Linked DNA regions of Macaca fascicularis. Each later gene encodes a partner of the first gene's protein in a complex. Links are inferred from orthologs where the notes say so. Each region holds a gene or a part of one and is shown in the gene's direction. Other genes may lie near its edges.

Evidence for each region. Proteins that work in one complex are often made in the same cells at the same time.
Region 2: DAB2IP (region 1) and MAP3K5 share a complex: the UniProt entries of both Homo sapiens proteins name them as parts of the cytoplasmic complex. The link is inferred for Macaca fascicularis from reciprocal best matches to the Homo sapiens genes DAB2IP and MAP3K5.
Region 3: DAB2IP (region 1) and DCP1A share a complex: the UniProt entries of both Homo sapiens proteins name them as parts of the cytoplasmic complex. The link is inferred for Macaca fascicularis from reciprocal best matches to the Homo sapiens genes DAB2IP and DCP1A.

Annotation. Positions count from the first base shown.
Region 1 is NC_088389.1:36,323,555-36,329,495, reverse strand, and holds the start of DAB2IP (disabled homolog 2-interacting protein), read left to right. Parts: upstream 1-2,833; 5' UTR 2,834-2,975; coding exon 2,976-3,099; intron 3,100-5,941. UniProt on the Homo sapiens protein: Functions as a scaffold protein implicated in the regulation of a large spectrum of both general and specialized signaling pathways.
Region 2 is NC_088378.1:40,661,161-40,667,001, reverse strand, and holds part of MAP3K5 (mitogen-activated protein kinase kinase kinase 5), read left to right. Parts: intron 1-1,528; coding exon 1,529-1,634; intron 1,635-5,841. UniProt on the Homo sapiens protein: Serine/threonine kinase which acts as an essential component of the MAP kinase signal transduction pathway. Plays an important role in the cascades of cellular responses evoked by changes in the environment.
Region 3 is NC_088376.1:116,420,557-116,426,397, reverse strand, and holds part of DCP1A (mRNA-decapping enzyme 1A), read left to right. Parts: intron 1-408; coding exon 409-1,167; intron 1,168-2,365; coding exon 2,366-2,431; intron 2,432-5,407; coding exon 5,408-5,626; intron 5,627-5,841. UniProt on the Homo sapiens protein: Necessary for the degradation of mRNAs, both in normal mRNA turnover and in nonsense-mediated mRNA decay. Removes the 7-methyl guanine cap structure from mRNA molecules, yielding a 5'-phosphorylated mRNA fragment and 7m-GDP.

The DNA of each region.
Region 1 (5,941 bases):
GACATTTAGCCTTGTAGGTACTGAGGCTCTCACATCGGCAGGGCTGGAAAGCCCGATCTGTTGGTCTGTCACAGGAAGCAGTGGTAGTAATGGTGGTGATGGGCACTGGAAGTGGGCTTCTCCTGATCAGAGGGAGGAAACCACAGGGGCGCTGGCGGGAGGTGGGAGCAGCAGATGGGGAGCTAGTTCCTGAGCAAGATTGATTCCAGGTCCCCTGCTGGGCTGTGCAGGGAGCAGCCTTTATCTGCTCTGGTCTTGGGCCAGGAGGAGGGACACGGAGCTTGGGCCCTTTCTCTTCTAGCTCTGGCCCTGCCCCCTTCCCACTCAGTACCTGGCGAGTACCTGCCCCAGGCCCGTGGAGATGCTCGGCTGGGCTGGTTGGCGATGCCCATTCCCGTCCCAAGGGCAGAAATGCACAAGCTTCCTCCATTTCACTAGCTGACCCTCCTTCCTCCACAAGGCAGATGGATTGGGGGTCCATAGCTTCTCCCTGTAGGTAGGGAAACTAAGGCACAGAGAAGAACTTGAAAAGCTGAAACGGGGAGACCATGCCAGACCTTTGGAGCCCAACTGTGTTTACAGATGAGGTCCTGAGTTCCAAGTCACTGCTCCCTCTCCCCTCCACACATACTCCTCAGACATCTGAGGGCCCAGGCCAAGACCACTTGCCCACACCACTGATAACAGTGAGTTGACTGTGAGCCTCCCGTCCCCTCCAGGGGGGACTAGTACCTGGCTGATCAGAGGGTTCCTGCTTTGGGAAACAAAATGGGCCAGATGAACTCAGGCCCTGGGAGCAGGAGCGTTGCCCCGGCCCTAAGCAGGACTTCCTGGGTGGGAGTCCCTCACCCCCAGAACCCGTGGACCTGGCTGTGGAGGTTAGTCATCCCTGGAAGTGCCACGGTGTGGACAGGTGGCGCTCGGAGCCCCACCTGTGTGAGGAGGCGCTGAACTGGGTTCTGGTGGTTTGGCCAGAGGAGGATGCATGCTAAGAAGGTCCCCCCAGCTTGCCTGGGGACTGAGTGACTGCGTGTGGGCTCTGTCCATGGGCTTCTTTTTAAAGACGTTCCTGCACCATGTCTGCTGTGGAAAGGAGATAGGGCAATGCCTCCAAGCTTATCCAACCTGCAACCTCTACAGGCTGCATGTGGCCCAAGATGGCTTTCAGTGCTGCCCAACACAGATTCATACATGTTCTTAAAACATTATGAGGTTTTTTTGTTTTTGTTTTTGTTTTATCATCAGCTGTGGTTAGTGTGAGTGTATTTTATATGTGGCCTGACAATTCTTCTTCCAATGTGGCCCAGGGAAGCCAAAAGATTGGGCACCCCTGGCCTAACCTGAAGGAAGCTAAGGGTGTCCTCTTGGGCACCCTGGTTTTCCATCTTCCCCGTGGGATTGGAAGAGGGGACCAGGGCAGCTGACGGCTCCGGACTTCCCAGACTGGATTTGGTGGAGTAACACCCCTCCTGCCCCTCCCCCCTGGTCAGGGAAGGCGCCTGGCTTCCAGCTGTGAGACGGGCTCCTCCGGACTAGGGGCCCTCCCCGCTGGCTGAGAGAGCTAGGGAGGGGGCTTCCTCTGTGACGTGCAAAACCCGGCCTGGATTTCTGCCCAGACGGCCCGGCGCCCTCCAGGGACCCACCTTTCTCCCACTGTTCTGGAAGAAGACCCCCAAGACGGCCTCAAGCACCTGCGGTGACTCACACTCACCCCCCACCCCTAAGTTTGAATGTTGAGAGCCCCAGGCTAAGACCACTTGCCTCTGCCACTTTCCATGTGGCTGAGGCAAGACCTCCTTGCCAAGGCCTCAGTTTCCCCCTCTGTACTTCAAAGGGTGCAGCTCAGGCAGGTGTCTTAATAATTTAAACGACGAATGTTGCTAAAGGCATAAGGGGCGGGGAGAGGGAGAGATCACTGTGGGCCATGGTCAGGGAAGGGTGGAGGAGCTGGGCCCTGAAAGGGTGGACTTTGATCAGGTGGAGAAAATAGCCAAGAAGGCAGTCCCTGCTGGCAGCACAGCAAAGAGAAGTGAGAATTAGGGAGAGCGGAGGTGAGGCTGGAAGGGACTTTGGTTGGGGCAAGATTATTTGGGGTCCAAATAACAAGGAAGGATGTTTAGACGTATTGCCATTGTGCTCTGGGGAGCCATGGAAGGTTCTTCAGCTGAGGAGTGACTTGGAGAAAGCTTTTCAGCCAATCCAATAGAGGGAGTTGGCACCTTTCCTTATGCCACCCTGAGTTTCTGGTCCCTATAGTAGGGTAGGGATTATTCTGCCCCGCCTTCAGTGCTTTGAGTGCTTGAAACACACACCATAATTTTAATTATATAAAAATGACATGTGTATCAGACGGGACAACCTTTAAAATGTAAAGAAGAGGCAAGTATCCTGCATCACAGGGAAGTCTTTCAACCTGGCTGGGCCCGGGCCTGCGGAGCAGTCAGGGTCCTTTCTCAGCCCAGCGAGCCTGGGGCAGGAACGCACACTAATTGAAGGTGACGGTCCCCACGCGTGCCATCCTGCCCTGGGCTCCGGAGGGCGCACAAGCAGGTGTGCACCGTCTACCCGCGCTGGCGGGATTGGGTGCCTGGTGCGCCCTCAGGTCGACGGTCGAACCCTCGGGCGCGGGGGTAGGAGCCAGGACCCTCGGGGGGACCCATCTGGGGTCCCGGGGAAACTCCGGGCCGCCTCGTCCCGCTAACTCCAGGCCGGGATTTCTCCCGCACTGACTTTCCGGGCCGGTGCCAGCCCAGCCTCCCGGTCCCCAGCCCCCGCCGCGGGGCCGGCTGCTCTAGGAGCGGGAGTGGGCAGGAGGCGGAGGAGGAGTTTGAGCGACTTTGTGGGGCAGCCTGGGCCTTGGCGGCCGCTCGGGCGAGCGCGGGAGAACGCGGGGGCGCCCGCCGGGCGGTCCGGAGTGGCCGATGGGGCCCGTGTGAGCGCGCCCAGGCCCGGCCCGGTGCCCGGCGGGCGGCAGCATGTCCGCGGGCGGCAGCGCCAGGAAGAGCACCGGGAGGTCCTCCTACTACTACCGGCTGCTGAGGCGGCCCCGGCTGCAGCGACAGAGGAGCCGCTCCCGCAGCCGGACCCGGCCTGCCAGGGGTAGGCGCCACCCCGACCCCTGACCCCTAGACCCTCCCAAGGCCACTAAGCCACCTGATGCCCTGGGATGCTAGGGACCGGCATCCTCCTTCCAGCCATTTGCCGGGGGTTTTTCTCATCCGCCCCTTCCTGAGTCTCCGGACCCCCCACTCCTCCCGCTTCTGCCTAGTCCTCCTCTCTCCGGGGGAACCTGAGGCTCTAGGGTCTTCTTTTAAGCCACGGGCAGGGAGAGGGGAGCCTGGAATCTTTCTCCGCACCTCAGATCAGACCTCCTACCCCACTGTGCCTCAGTTGACTCAGCAGCCGGGCAATAAAGTAACCTAGGGTGGATCTTGGCTTTCCCACACCTTGCCTTCCCAGCCCTGGCCGCGGACTTCTTTCTTCCATTTCCAGGAACTTAAGGGGCTCCCCACTCTTGGGTGCTTGGACAAGTGGGTGGACCTCAGGGAAGGAACCGGGACCCCTCGAGCGGGTGGGCGCCAACTCCTTTGCAAAGTTTCTCTCCATCAAGCTCATGAGGCAGGACGAGACGGAGGGGGAGGTGCGAGCAGCATTTTCTTTTTCCAGTAACAGGATCCTCGGCTGGAAATGCGTGTGATCCAGGGGGCTGCGTTTGGGCGGGTGGGGGCCGGGACTTCCTTCCCTGGCGGAGTGGGAGGGAGGGAAGCCCCCTGGGAGGAGGAGGCCTTCAAAGGGGCTCTGGGGAGGCTGGAGTCCTGGGCAGAGGTTCAGGCCCACCGAGGGTGCCCGTGGGGTGGAAGGGAGGAGAAAGACGGCGCCTTAGCCGGGACCTGGGCCGAGTTGACACCATCAGGTCATCTTGAAAGTGGGAAGCCGGGCCCTGTGCCAACAAATGCCATGCAGGGGCCGCATTCCCACCCTGCACGCTGCCGATGTGTGACCTGGGCTGAGCTGCCTCTGAACTTCAGTTTTCTTGTCAGTGTGAGGGTAAATGAAGCAGGCAGGCAGTGTTCATTTGCTTCCCCATTCCCACAGTCAGGACTGAGCAGCAGTCCAGGGCTTCCTCAGAAAGTGGTGACTTCCCCGTGCGCAGAAGGGTTCAAGCTGAGGTTAAGGGTATGCACAGGTGTGTGCTGGTAGTTCAGTCCTCAAGGGTCTCTCAAAGCCTGTGATCCCCCAGCTCCTGCCTTTCCTGAAGTCTTAGTAAGTACAGAATTAACAGTACTAAGCCTTTAGTACTCCCTCCCCCTGGAGGGAGTACTAAAGACCTGGGGAAAGGCTTTGTCTCAGAGGTTCAGGTTTTGATTCTTCTATCTCTGTCCTTCTATCTCTGTCCTTCAATTTAATTCTGTACTTTCTAAGACCTGGGGAAAGGCTTGTACTATCAATTCTGTACTTACTACCTCCCCCTGGACTTGGTCTGGGAGACTGGGAATCTGAGCTCAAGCTTTGTGACTTTGGGCAAGTCATTTCACCCCTTTCTGAGCTTAGTTTTCCTGGTTGTGAAATGGACCTGCCATATGCGGAGGATTCAGTGAAGAAACTGAGAAATGGGAGCTGTGAAAATGCCCAGTACTGTTTAGACCACCCTGGGGCCTCTCCTTCTGCACCCACCTCACGTCACCTCACCCCCTCCGCCCGCCCCCCCTTGCCTCAGAAATGCCCTGCATGACCTTTCCCTCTTCTCAGCTCAGCCCAGTTCCATCCCTGACTGTAACAGGAGTCCCACTCCTGCTCAGCTGACCGGGCAGGGGATAATCAATGTGTCAGGGGCTGTCACCTGAGCCCCAGCTCCCAGACCCCACATGCACAGGATCACTGCTTTGTGTCCCCGCCTTAAAGGAGCTCACAGCCTGCAGAGAATGGGGAGGAGACTGTCTCTGAACAGAAGTTATATCTGGGGAAACCAGGGAGAGCTTCACAGAGGAGGTGACATTTGGATGGGATCTCACAAAATGGATAGGATTTCCCTTGGCAGAGGGAGTCATTGAGTCAGATCTGAGTTCAAGCCTCAGCTGTGCACACAACTATTCTTCAGCCAGTTACCTCTCCAAGCCTCAGTGACGTCGTGTTGTCAGTGGGGCTAGCAGTGACAGGGTCATGTGAGGGCCAGAAGCCAGTGCCCGGGACTAAGGCTGAAGCTGAGGGTGAGCTACTGTCCTCTCTCTGGACAGAATGAACAGACTGTGCAGTCAGGGAGAAGGAAAACGACTTGGGTGTTGAGGATAGAGTTCCTACTGGGGTTGGGGAGGAGGGTGGATTGGGAAAGGGGCTGGGTCGGTGGGTGGGGAAGGGCAGGCAACAGTAGTTTGGATTTGATAAAGGGCTTTGAACTTTGGGAGGCCAAGGCAGGAGGAATCCCTGAGCGCAGGAGTTCAAGACCAGGCTGGGCAACATAGCAAGACCCGGTCTCAATATTTTTGTTTTTGTTTTTGTTTTTTTTTAAAAAAGGCATTGAGTGATGAGGAGTGAGTTAGAGCTGCAGCCAGGGTGTGGGGTGGAGGCTGGAGGCACCCTGTCCTCCTTGGTGGGAGGCAGCTGGGGCAGCCATTGCCCTCTCTCCACTAAAGCCTCAGACACCTGACTCTGCCCCAGAGCCACAACCACCTGCTGAGGGCAGGGCCCCACCCAGGGAGAAACTCAGGCTGAGGAAGCTACCCCGTGGCCTTTGAGCCAGTCCCTTCTGACCTTGAACTTCAGTCTCCCTATCCATCTGGGGACTTGGTCCCATCGTATGGTAGCATCAGACCTCAGAGGAATGGGTGGTGCCTAGCATCTCAGCTTGGATCAGACTCTTGCCCCCACACCCTTTCTGGCCTCTGGCACTAGTATGGAAGGAAAATGACCAAGAACTCAGGCTGCGTATTTGTTCAGAAACAGA
Region 2 (5,841 bases), on another chromosome or scaffold:
CCAACAAGATTGTGCTCCCACTACACAATGTTTCCTAGGAACTCTGTGGTGTGGGATGCAGCTGTCTAAAGTTAAATGGGAGATGGCCCCTGGTCCTGAGGAACTTACAGGCTGGTTAATCTTTGTATCCTTGCCCATAGTAGCTACTCAGTAAATACTTATTGAATCAATAAATGAATAGTTAGAAGAAAAAAAAATTCCCTTTTCTCACAAGTATCACATATTCATTGATTGAACTATAATTATAAGGTATAGATTCTCTAAAATAAGCTAAAATAATAACTTTACGTTCTCTTTTTAAAAAGAAAATTCAGAACTAATACATTTTTTACAAAGTGTGGACTATTGAAAATAAGTTAATATTACTACCCTAAAAATCAACCAAAATGCCCATTTATCTATCATGCCTCTACATATTCCAGGAAAAGAAGTAAAGAAACATAGAAAAGAAAATAAAGTAACTGGAAAGTTATGAAAATCATAATTTAATTATACATACATCATTATATCTCTGTAAATAGCAACAAGCTCTAACCAGTTAGGAATCATATTTGATCTTGTGATCTGAGTAGCAGATTATGAAGAACTTACAACCGCCCAATGAGTTCCTGTTGCCCACTGACCAGATAGAGCTGATTTCTCAAGATGTAAGAATTGCAACTGAGAGTTTAATACACATAGAGATGGCCAAACAAGATATTGGATTTTATAATTATTCAAATCAGCCGCTCCAAAAATTTAGAGGCTAAGGTTTTCCAGAGATAGTTTGGTGAGCAGGGGGCTAGGGTCTGGGTGGTTGGGGATGCAATTATACAGGTGTGGAAAATAGTTCTTATGTGTTGAGTCCAGTTCTGGGTGGGGGCTACAGGACTGGCTGAGTCCAGAGTCACAGGTCTGGGTGATGCCATCTGATAGTCAGAAATGGAGAAGCCTGTAAAGACATTTCAAAAGGCCAGTCTTTGGTTCTATAATAGTGATGTCAATTATAGGAACAATTGGAGGAGTTGCAAATCTTGTGACCCCCCAGAATAGTGGGCTGATAATCATTTGGCTATGCCTACATCTTAGTGGACTTTAGGCCCCTCTCATCCTGTTAACCTGGTGGCCTTTCATTAGTTTTACAAAGATGGTTTAGTTTTGGGGAAGGGCTATTATCATCTAAACTATAAATTATAAATTAAATTTCTCCAAGTGAGCTTGGTCTACACCCTGGAATGACCAAGGGCAGTTTGGAAATTTAAGGCAAGATGGTGGTGGTTAGATCAGTTCTCTTTTACTGTCATAATTTTCTCACTGTTACAATTTTTGCAAAGGCAGTTGGTCTCAAACTGATAATATGTAAACAAAAAACAGTGTCAAGAATTCACTATTGAGATAAACTATTAATGAAGAATACAGAATTATGTTGTTGGTTGCTGTAAGGACACCTTTTTTTTTTTTTTTTTTTTTTTAATTGGACTTACCAAGTCAACAATAGACAGTATCTGAAGAAAGATAACATTTGTGATTAAAGTCCTCTGTTCTCTAGGGTGACAATGTGTTGATTAATACCTACAGTGGTGTTCTCAAGATCTCTGACTTCGGGACATCAAAGAGGCTTGCTGGCATAAACCCCTGTACTGAAACTTTTACTGGTATGTTTTTGCAATGATGATACAGATCTTATGTAATTAAAGAAATAATTGCTGAGTTTGAGCATAATGTGAGAGAGAAATTCAGCTGGTGTTCGCACACACAGTAATGTTGATATCTTTTCTCTTTTCTTTCTTTCTTTCTTTTCTTTTTTTTTTTTTTTTTTTTTGAGACAGGGTCTTGCCCTGTCACCTAGGCTGGAATGCAGGAGTGTTATCACCTATCACTGTAGCCTTAAACTCCCAGGCTCAAGCAATCCTCCCACCTCAGCCTCCTGAGTAGCTGGGACTACAGGCGTGCGCCACCATGCCCAGCTAATTTTTTTGTATTTTTGATGGAGACAAGGTTTCACCATGTTGGCCAGGCTGGTCTCAAACTCCTGGGCTCAAGTAACACACCTGTGGCCTCCAAAAGTGTTGGGATTACAGGTGTGAGCCACCGCGCCTGGCCAATGTTGTTATGTGTTACAGAATTTGATTTGGCCCTTTTCTCTTCCTGTATGTATATGACTTGCTTAGTTAGTCTCCTGCTTACTGCCACTGAAGATTTTTTTTTTTTTTTTTTTAATTTTCAACTTGTTATTTGTTTTTCTTTTAATGTAATTACTTCTTTCCTGGTTGGCCTACAATAACTCTAGCAAGATTTTTTTATTATTATTATTAAACATTTCCTTGGCCCAACCTCTCTGTGATTCTTACTCATACCCTAATCACTTCCCATTTGGACGATAAATTCTCTCTTTTACTGTTTACTCTCTGTGGTTGACTCCCCTACTCCACAATATAAATAACCTAGGATTTCAATTCAGAAAGAGGAAATGACTCACCGACTCAGCAGAAGAAGGGAGGGAGAGAGCTTTCCTGAGAAGTTAGGCAGTGCAGCCACTGAGCTGCCTTTGGTGCAAAGTACTGGGAGGGTGGAGACCAAGTGATTTCCAAAAAGGTAACAGTAGCCAAGAGGAAGCTCAGACTCAAGAGATTCATGACTGCCCAATAGTTCTAGGGAGGGTGTGTAAGATTTCAAACCTGATCTCCACCCTTAGTTCTTATCACTCCATCATGCTGATTCTCATGAAGTGTTAAGTTCTTCTTCTTATAGAGAGAAATTTAGGACCCTCCCCACAAAAAAAAAAAAAAAAAAAAAAAAAAAGAGGAGGGGAAGGGAAGAGAAAAAGATCATGAATAATCTTTGGTCTACTATGAAGCAACATGGCCCCATTTCAATTCTGTGAGGTAGGTGGGAGTACCTCCATTTTGCAGACGAGAAAATTTCCTGGGAGAGAAGTGACATTGCAGTCAGAAGTCACAGCAGTGTTTACCGGATAGAACTCAGATTGGTTTTTTGTTTTTGTTTTTGTTTTTTTGAGACTGGGTCTTGCTATGTTGCCCAGGCTGGTCTTGAACTCCTGGGTTTAAGCAGTCCACCCACTGCAGGCTCCTAGGTATCTAGGATGTCATGCCTGGCAAAACCCAGTTTTTTTGTTCTTGTTTTTTCTTTTGAGATGGGGTCTCGCTCTGTAACCCAGGCTGAGGTATGGTAGTGTAATCTCTGCTCACTGTGACCTCTCCCACCCTAGATTTAAGTGATTCTCCTACCTCAGCCTCCCTAGTAGCTGGGACCATAGGCACGCACCTCCATGCCTGGCTAATTTTTTGTGGGTTTTTTTTGGTAGAGACAAGGTTTCACCATGTTGCCCAGGCTGGTCTCAAACTCCTGACCTCAAGTGATCCACCTGCCGTGGACTCCCGAAGTGCTGGGATTACATGTGTGAGCCCCCACGCCTAGCCAGAACTCAGATTTTGTATCTACTGTTTGCTCTTTGCTTTTGCCTTCTGGCTCTAGTCCATCTTTCTCTCTGCCTTCCTGTAGGAGAGAGAGACGTTCTGTGTCAAGTTTTTTCCCCAGAGCATTCAGTCAGCAATACCCCTGACCCAGGTCCTGCCTCAAGGCGATGGATATTTTAGGGTACAGAATTAACACATTTTGAATATATTTTTTTGAAAAAACTAAGTGCTGACCTATTAATAACTTCAAATGTCTTTACATTTCTTTCCTCATACTCTGAACTTGGCAAGTGGCAGTTTCTGTGCTGTCAAGACTCAGTAACTTCTGAGAGGAAAATCCCTCCTTTCACACGCTTTGTGGGACAGGATGTTAACGCAATATCTTGTGCTACTAATCTGGGGAATATCTTTTTTGTGAAATCTCCAAAGGAATTGTAGGAAAGCAGTCCTCACAGAGCCCTTTGCGTGGACCTCTTCCACTGGTGTCACGTAAGAGTGACGTGCGTCACTAACATGCATAGATCTGTCCCCAGCACTGGTCCCGAGGGCCCTGTACATCGTAGGCTTCAAACATGAACTTGGTGGTCATCAAGTCCCAGGAGCTTAGTCCCAGGTACTCAGTCAATAAATTGGTCTGTATAACCTCTTGGTGATTTTGATGAGGGAAAATGCAGCAGTAATCACCATTTATGGAGTGCTTACTGTATACCTAGCTCGCACTAAGTGCTTTACATACATTTTATTGAAATTCATACATCAGCCTTAATCATTAGGTATCATTATCCTAGTTTGTGGTGAGAAAATGAAGGTTCAAAGAGGTTGAATAACTTGCCCGAGGTCACAAAGCTAGTTAGTAATAGAGCTGAGACTCAAGCGAGACTTAACAGGCCAAAAGGAATTAATTATCTTCTCCCAAACCTGTCCCCGGCACACTCTTCTGTCTCAATTGGCAGCCACTCCCGACATAGTGTTATCCAGGGCGCTTCTCTTTTCTCACACTCCATCCCAGTCCATCCAGGAAGCCTATTGGCTCTGTCTTCAAAACATGACCAACATTGGACCGGTTCTCACGCCTCTGCCGCTGCCACTCTCATCGCACACCTGCATTTTCCGTGGCTTCCCCAGCTGTGCTCCTGCTTCACTTTTGCCCCCTACTGTCTACTCTCAGCACTGCAGCAAAAGTGATCCCTCTGAAACAAACGGGGTCCTATTGTTCAGAGCCCTCGGTGGCTTTCTTTTTTTTTTTTTTTATGTAAACAAATATCAAAACCCTTATAGTTGGGGACAAGGCTCTGACCTGATTCGGAGTCTGTACCCTTTCAGACCTCATTTCCTACTCTTCTTCTGTTGTTTACTCTGTGCCAGAAACGTGGACCTTCCTGCATTTCCTCTATGACAGCAGGCAGGGCCCTGCCACAGAGCCTTTGCATGGGCTTTTCCTCCTGCCGCTACCACACTTACCCCAGCTGTCTGCACGGGTAACTTTCTTACCTTCTTCCAGTCTCAATGCAGATGTCCCCTCTGCAGTGAGACCAACCATGAACACCCTATTGACCATGGCGGCCTTCCTGCTGATCCTCTTCACTCAGGTCTATATTTTTTTGGTCATAATATATCACTTTCTAACATGCTGTGTAATTTACTTACTGTGCTGATAGTTTATCATCTGGCTTCTACTGCAAAAACATAAGTCCAGGTATTTCTGTCTGTCTTCTCCACTGCTGTATTCTAAGTGCCTAGAACAGTGCCTGGCCCATCGTAGGCCCTCAATGTAGATCTGTTGAATGAATGAATGAATGAATGAATGAATGAATGAATGAATGAATGAAATGTGACGTTAGAGTTTAATTAACTACTAAGCTGTGCCACCTCCCTGGGTAGTTGCAGCAGCAAAGAAATTCTACAATAGGTAATTCAAAGCAATTTTTAAAAAAAACTTTAGAATGCAGATACATGAGGTATGAGTTTTAGAGCAAATTCATTGATTTTCCTCCAATGTTCAGGTTGGCTCTCATCTTCATTATCCAGCTTCGTAAATTGCTTTGTTTAAAATACTATGTGTCATGTGTTTGTGAAGTAAAAAGAGGAGCAGATAAGAACACATGACTCAACCTGTTTTTCTGGCACTTGCTCAGTGGGGGATAATTAAACACAATTGGCAGATGGAGCTCTTTGAAATGTTATCTGATGAATCAAATATTGCATAATTTGTTGTTGACATTATTTGAATTGTGCAATTTACGATGTTTAAAAATTAAAAATTTCCAAATTTTGGTCTGCTATAATTCCTACTTAGCTATTAATGCCACTTAAATTCTCTCATTAATTCTACTCTAGGCCCCGATACAACAAAAGGGGGTGGTAGACTTCAACGCATTTTCTAAAAGACTATTTGAGCTTATTTAAATCATAAATTTATCACTTG
Region 3 (5,841 bases), on another chromosome or scaffold:
CTGATTTATCAGAGATCCAATGCCTAGCGTTTCATTGAGAACAGTGAAAGGTGGAATCACCTGATCAACATTCGGTCCCTGTGTCTCCTCTAGTGTCATTTCCTTATGTGTTGCTGACATGAGACAATTGGGCACAGTCAGCTTTGCCAAGAAAAAGAATGGTGAATTCTGATCCTGCCTCCCAGAGACCCTAAAAATTTGAATTATATTACCAATGCAAACCACCAACCTGGGGACACTGGATGAACTTGGGCCTTAATCCTTAGTACATCTTCAGTTTTGTCCATTCCTTATTTTTATACTCCATCCATCCTTGATTCTGTACAATCTTTGACTTCTGGAAAAGAAGTTTGGTTATGCTGTTTTATAAGAGACCTCTTTCACTGGGTGGTTTCATTTGTTTTTCAGTCTGCTCCATCTGGACACAAGCATCTGACGGTAGAAGAGTTATTTGGAACCTCTTTGCCAAAGGAACAGCCAGCAGTTGTGAGTCTGGATTCAGAAGAAGTGGAGAGATTGCCAGGAGATGCCTCCCAGAAAGAGCCCAATTCATTCCTACCATTTCCCTTTGAGCAGTCAGGAGGAGCCCCTCAATCAGAAACCCTGGGTGTCCCTTCTGCTGCCCACCACTCAGTCCAGCCTGAAATCACCACCCCGGTGCTAATCACTCCAGCCTCCATCACACAGTCCAATGAAAAGCATGCCCCAACCTACACAATCCCGTTGAGTCCCGTTCTCAGTCCCACTCTGCCATCTGAAGCTCCTACTACACAGGTTCCCCCCAGCTTACCTCGAAACAGCACCATGATGCAGGCAGTGAAGACCACGCCTAGACAGAGGTCTCCACTCCTGAATCAGCCAGTCCCTGAGCTAAGCCATGCCGGTCTGATTGCCAGCCAGAGCCCCTTCCGGGCCCCACTGAACGTGGCAAACACAGCTGGCACATCCCTCCCAAGCGTTGATCTTCTCCAGAAACTCAGGTTGACCCCACAGCATGACCAAATACAGACACAACCACTTGGGAAAGGTGCAATGGTAGCCAGCTTTTCTCCGGCAGCTGGTCAGCTGGCCACACCTGAGAGCTTCATAGAGCCTTCCTCTAAGACAGCAGCAGCGAGAGCAGCAGCCTCAGCCTCCCTGAGCAACATGGTGCTTGCTCCCCTTCAGGTAATGGCAGGAGGGTGGGGGTGGGCATAGTGGGTAACTATAACTGGATGGGATGAAACTACAGACCTTGGTTTTAACTGTCATGACACTGACAGTTTTGAAGAGTTGTCCCTTTAAAGTATGTCGGGCTAGGAGACAGCTGAGGTAAGAAGCCCTATCATGAACAACCAAGTAATTTATTTTCCTATCTGGATATGCACTTTAGCAGAGGTTGTATGTTTGTTTTGCTTTTGCCCAGCATTTCCAGGAGTCCTCATTTGACTCAGGACCAAATTATTCCAAAGCTTAACTCCCTTCCTATCTCCCACAGCACTCTCCTAGAGTGCCTGCCTTGTGCCAAGTACCCTAGAGGTGCCATAAGAGCATCCTAGACTTGAAGGTATGAGGTCAAATAAAGCTGATTTTTTTCAACTGTCCACATTTACATCACCTTATCAAGAGGTGCCATGCTGCCTAGATCTCTCATCTCTATCTCTACAGACTCAACAGCAAAAATATGCCCAGGCTGCAGGACAGACATCACATGTTCTCACTTTATTTGAACTCATGGAGATAGAGAATAGAAGGATGGTTACCAGAGGCTAGGAAGGTAGGGGGAGGTGGGGATGGTGAATGCATAAAAAAAAAATAGAATGAATAAGACCTAGTATTTAATAACACAACAGGGTGATTATAGTCAATAATTTAAGTATATATTTTAAAATAATGAAGAGTATAATTAGATTGTAACACAAAGGAAAAATTTGTGAGGGGATGGATACCCCATTTTCCATGATGTGATTATTATGTATTGCATGCCTATATTAAAACATTTCATATACCTCATAAATATGTACACCTATGTACCCACAAAAATTAAAAATTATGTATATTCCTGGGCTGTCTCTGGCTCTTAGAAGGGATACAGGTCTCGGGCTTTTCTTTAAAGATACCTGAAAGGCTCTGCACACACCCCTTCTCTCCGGAACTAAAGAAGAGAGGCTGTCGCAGAGCTCTCATGCAGTTGAATTGTTGGCTGCATAGTTGAAAGTTTCTGTCACACTCTTCCCTTGGGAATCTAGGAACTAGTTAATATCTGAACCATTTTCTATTACTAACCTAGATTTTCCACTGGGAAAGTCTTCTTCAATTAAGACTAGGAAGTCTTCTTAATTGAAACTTCTTATATCCATCTATCTTTTCTTCATAAACGTTTCAGTCTATGCAGCAGAACCAGGATCCTGAAGTATTTGTCCAGCCTAAGGTGTTATCCAGTGCCATCCCGGTAAGGACTTGCTTTTTCTTTCTTTTTTTTTTTTTTTTTTTTTTTTTTTTAAGACTAGTCTGGTGCTATAGTGAGAAGGTAGAAAGAGTAGAACAAGGAATTTGATCTGTAACTGACTGTGAACAATCAGTTGAGCTAACTCACTACCTTTGGACCAGCCAGGACTCCCTCTTTCTAAAGGATACATTATGTATTTTTAAGTTCTTCTGCTGGATGTGAAGTAAAAGGTTGTCAGCTTAGTGAAAAGAGTTAGCTATGGAGCCCAGCCCATCTTAGATGCCTTTCCTAGGCCAGGCACCTCCCACCCCCGTCCTGGCAGAGTCCATTACTGTGGCCTCTGTGGATCTTGAGGCATCTGCATGGATATCTTCCCTGACTGTGTGTGTAGAGGGCATGGTGGGCCCTTACTCAGTATTTGTGAACAGGTGACTGCTAAGAGTGTGGTAACCTGGCTTATAAGTAGGAAATATTGCCCTGGAGGAGCTGTGATGTCCCAGGTGGCAGAGCCACTATCCTGCTACAGTCCTCTCATTTCCCATTGCTCTGAGAACAAAGCCTCCCAGGCCTGTGTGTTCTGTCCCGTTTGTCCTCCCTTGCTTCGTTTTTTGTTGTCCCTACTCTACATCACCCACTAACCTTGCAATGCACACAGGTTTTTTTAGCTCCCTAAAGTCATTTCTGTTTTCCTTTGAGCCTTTGTGCCCTCCTTGAGTCTTGGAGTTTAAATGGGAACCAGCTTCTGACTGGTCTTATATCTTGGAGTTTAAATGGGAGCCAGCTCCTGACTGTTCTTGGAAACGAGCCTCTTTTCTGTGTGTCTTGTCCTTCTGCATGGTGATCTATCTGCAGGAGCTCTCGGCCTGCTTTTGCACCAAAAATAAAGAAAGGGTAAATAGTTCAGATGCCAAAAACCATACCCTTGAAACTGGCCAGCTCTGTGCTCTTTGTAAATGAGAAAGTGACATGTAAGAGAAAGAAATGTAGATGTCTGTTGATTGTATCAGATCTGAGGATACTGAAAATACTGATGATTACTGGTTTTTTTGGTTTTTTTGGTTTTTTTTTGTGTGTGTGAGACGGAGTCTCGCTCTGTCTCCCAGGCTGGAGTGCAGTGGCCGGATCTCAGCTCACTGCAAGCTCCGCCTCCCGGGTTTACGCCATTCCCCTGCCTCAGCTCACTGCAAGCTCCGCCTCCCGGGTTTACGCCATTCTCCTGCCTCAGCCTCCCGAGTAGCTGGGACTACAGGTGCCCGCCACCACGCCCAGCTAGTTTTTTTTGTATTTTTTAGTAGAGACGGGGTTTCACCGTGTTAGCCAGGATGGTCTCGATCTCTTGACCTCGTGATCCGCCTGTCTCGGCCTCCCAAAGTGCTGGGATTACAGGCTTGAGCCACCGCGCCCGGCGATTACTGGTTTAATATATTCAGATAATTAGCTGGAATTAGCCTAGAAGCACATCTAAATGGAGGAGAGAGGTAGATGTTAGCTTTATTTTTAAGAAATTTTCTCATTGCTTTCTATAATGGTATAAAAAAATAGATTGAACATAACTGGATTTGGAGTTTTTGTTTTTGTTTTTGGTTGTTTTTTTTTTTTTTTTTTTTTTTTTTGAAATGGAGTCTTGCTTTGCCGCCCAGAGTGCAGCTCACTGCAACCTCCACCTTCTGGGTTCAAACCATTCTTCTGCTTCAGCGTCCCAAGTAGCTGGGATTACAGGCGCCCATCACCACACTCTACTATGTTTTTGTCTTTTTAGTAGAGACGGGGTTTCACCATGTTGGCCAGGCTGGTCTTGAACTCCTGACCTCAAGTGATCCTCCCACATAGGCCTCCCAAAGTGCTAGGATTACAGGCATGAGCCACCGCTCCCAGTCATAACTGGATTTTTAAATTCTTTTTTATTGCAGTATGATTTACATACACTGAAATGCAGATTTTTAGAGTCCAGGCATGGTGGTTCACACCTGTAATCCCAGCACTTTGGGAGGCCTAGGTGGAAGGATCACTTAAGCCCAGGAGTTCAAGACCAGCCTGGACAACATAGTGAGACCTCATCTCTTACAAAAAAATCAAAAATGAGGGGAGGATTGCTTGAGCCCAGGAAATTGAAGCTGCAGTGAGTGGTGACTGCACCACTGCACTCCCACCTGGGTGACAGAGTGAGACCCTGCCTTAAAAAAAAAAAAAAAAAAAAAAAATGCAGATTTTTTTTTTTTTCTTTTTTTTCTTTTTCTTTTTTTGGAGACAGAGTCTTGCTCTGTCACCCAGGCTGGAGTGCAATGGGTGCAGTCTTGGCTCACTGCAACCTCCACCTCCTGGGTTCAAGCGATTCTCCTGCCTCAGCCTCCCGAGTAGCTGGGATTACAGGCGTGCACCACCACGCCCGGCTAATTTTTGTATTTTTAGTACAGATGGGGTTTCACCATGTTGGCCAGGCTGGTCTCGAACCCCACCTCGGCCTCCCAAAGTGCTGGTATTACAGGCATGAGCCACTGCGCCCAGCCAAACAACACAGATTTTTAAATGAGTTTTTGACACATGTATGTATTATCCCTTAGGCAACCCAATCAATATGTAACATTCTGTCACTCCAGAAAGTTCCCTCATGTCCTCTTCCAGTCATTTCCCCAACTCCCCTCCCAAAAAGCCTTTACATTTTGAATTTATCATAGGATTTTTCTTACTGTGCATTCTATACCGTTATTTCTCTTACCTTCTGTGGCAGTTGGACTTGGCTTCCCGTAACGATTCTAGGACGTTCTTATATAAATGGGCTCGTCATCCCTTAGCTCACGGAAGTTTATAACCAGATGCTAGATGTTCAAATGCTCCTACTGAATGTTTACCTGAACCCGAAACAGTCTGTCTCTGGGCTTCACTCTTCTGCTGCTTGTGCCTGTTTCCACATGCTCCTTATTCTGGGCCTGGCTACTGGCTTCTGCACTTTGGTACAAAATGACCATTGTTCCTCTCCAGGTTGCAGGCGCCCCACTGGTTACTGCAACGACTACTGCAGTGTCTTCAGTCCTGCTGGCCCCAAGTGTTTTCCAGCAGACAGTTACAAGGTCTTCAGATCTTGAGAGGAAAGCCAGCTCTCCTTCTCCTCTAACTATTGGAACGCCAGAAAGTCAGAGAAAGCCTTCCATTATTCTCAGCAAGTCTCAGCTCCAGGATACGTTAATACATCTCATAAAGGTATGTAGGATACCAATTTTATCTTTGATTTTTCATTACTTAATAAAAGAAATTGTATACATTCCTCCTACAGAATCAGTTCATAAAGTAAATTCAAAAGACTAGCTGGAGGCCGGGCAAAGTGGCTCACACCTGTAATCCCAGCACTTTGGGAGACTGGGGCGGGCAAAAAAAAAAAAACAGACTGGGAGTACTGTTTCTCTTTTTTCAAGCAT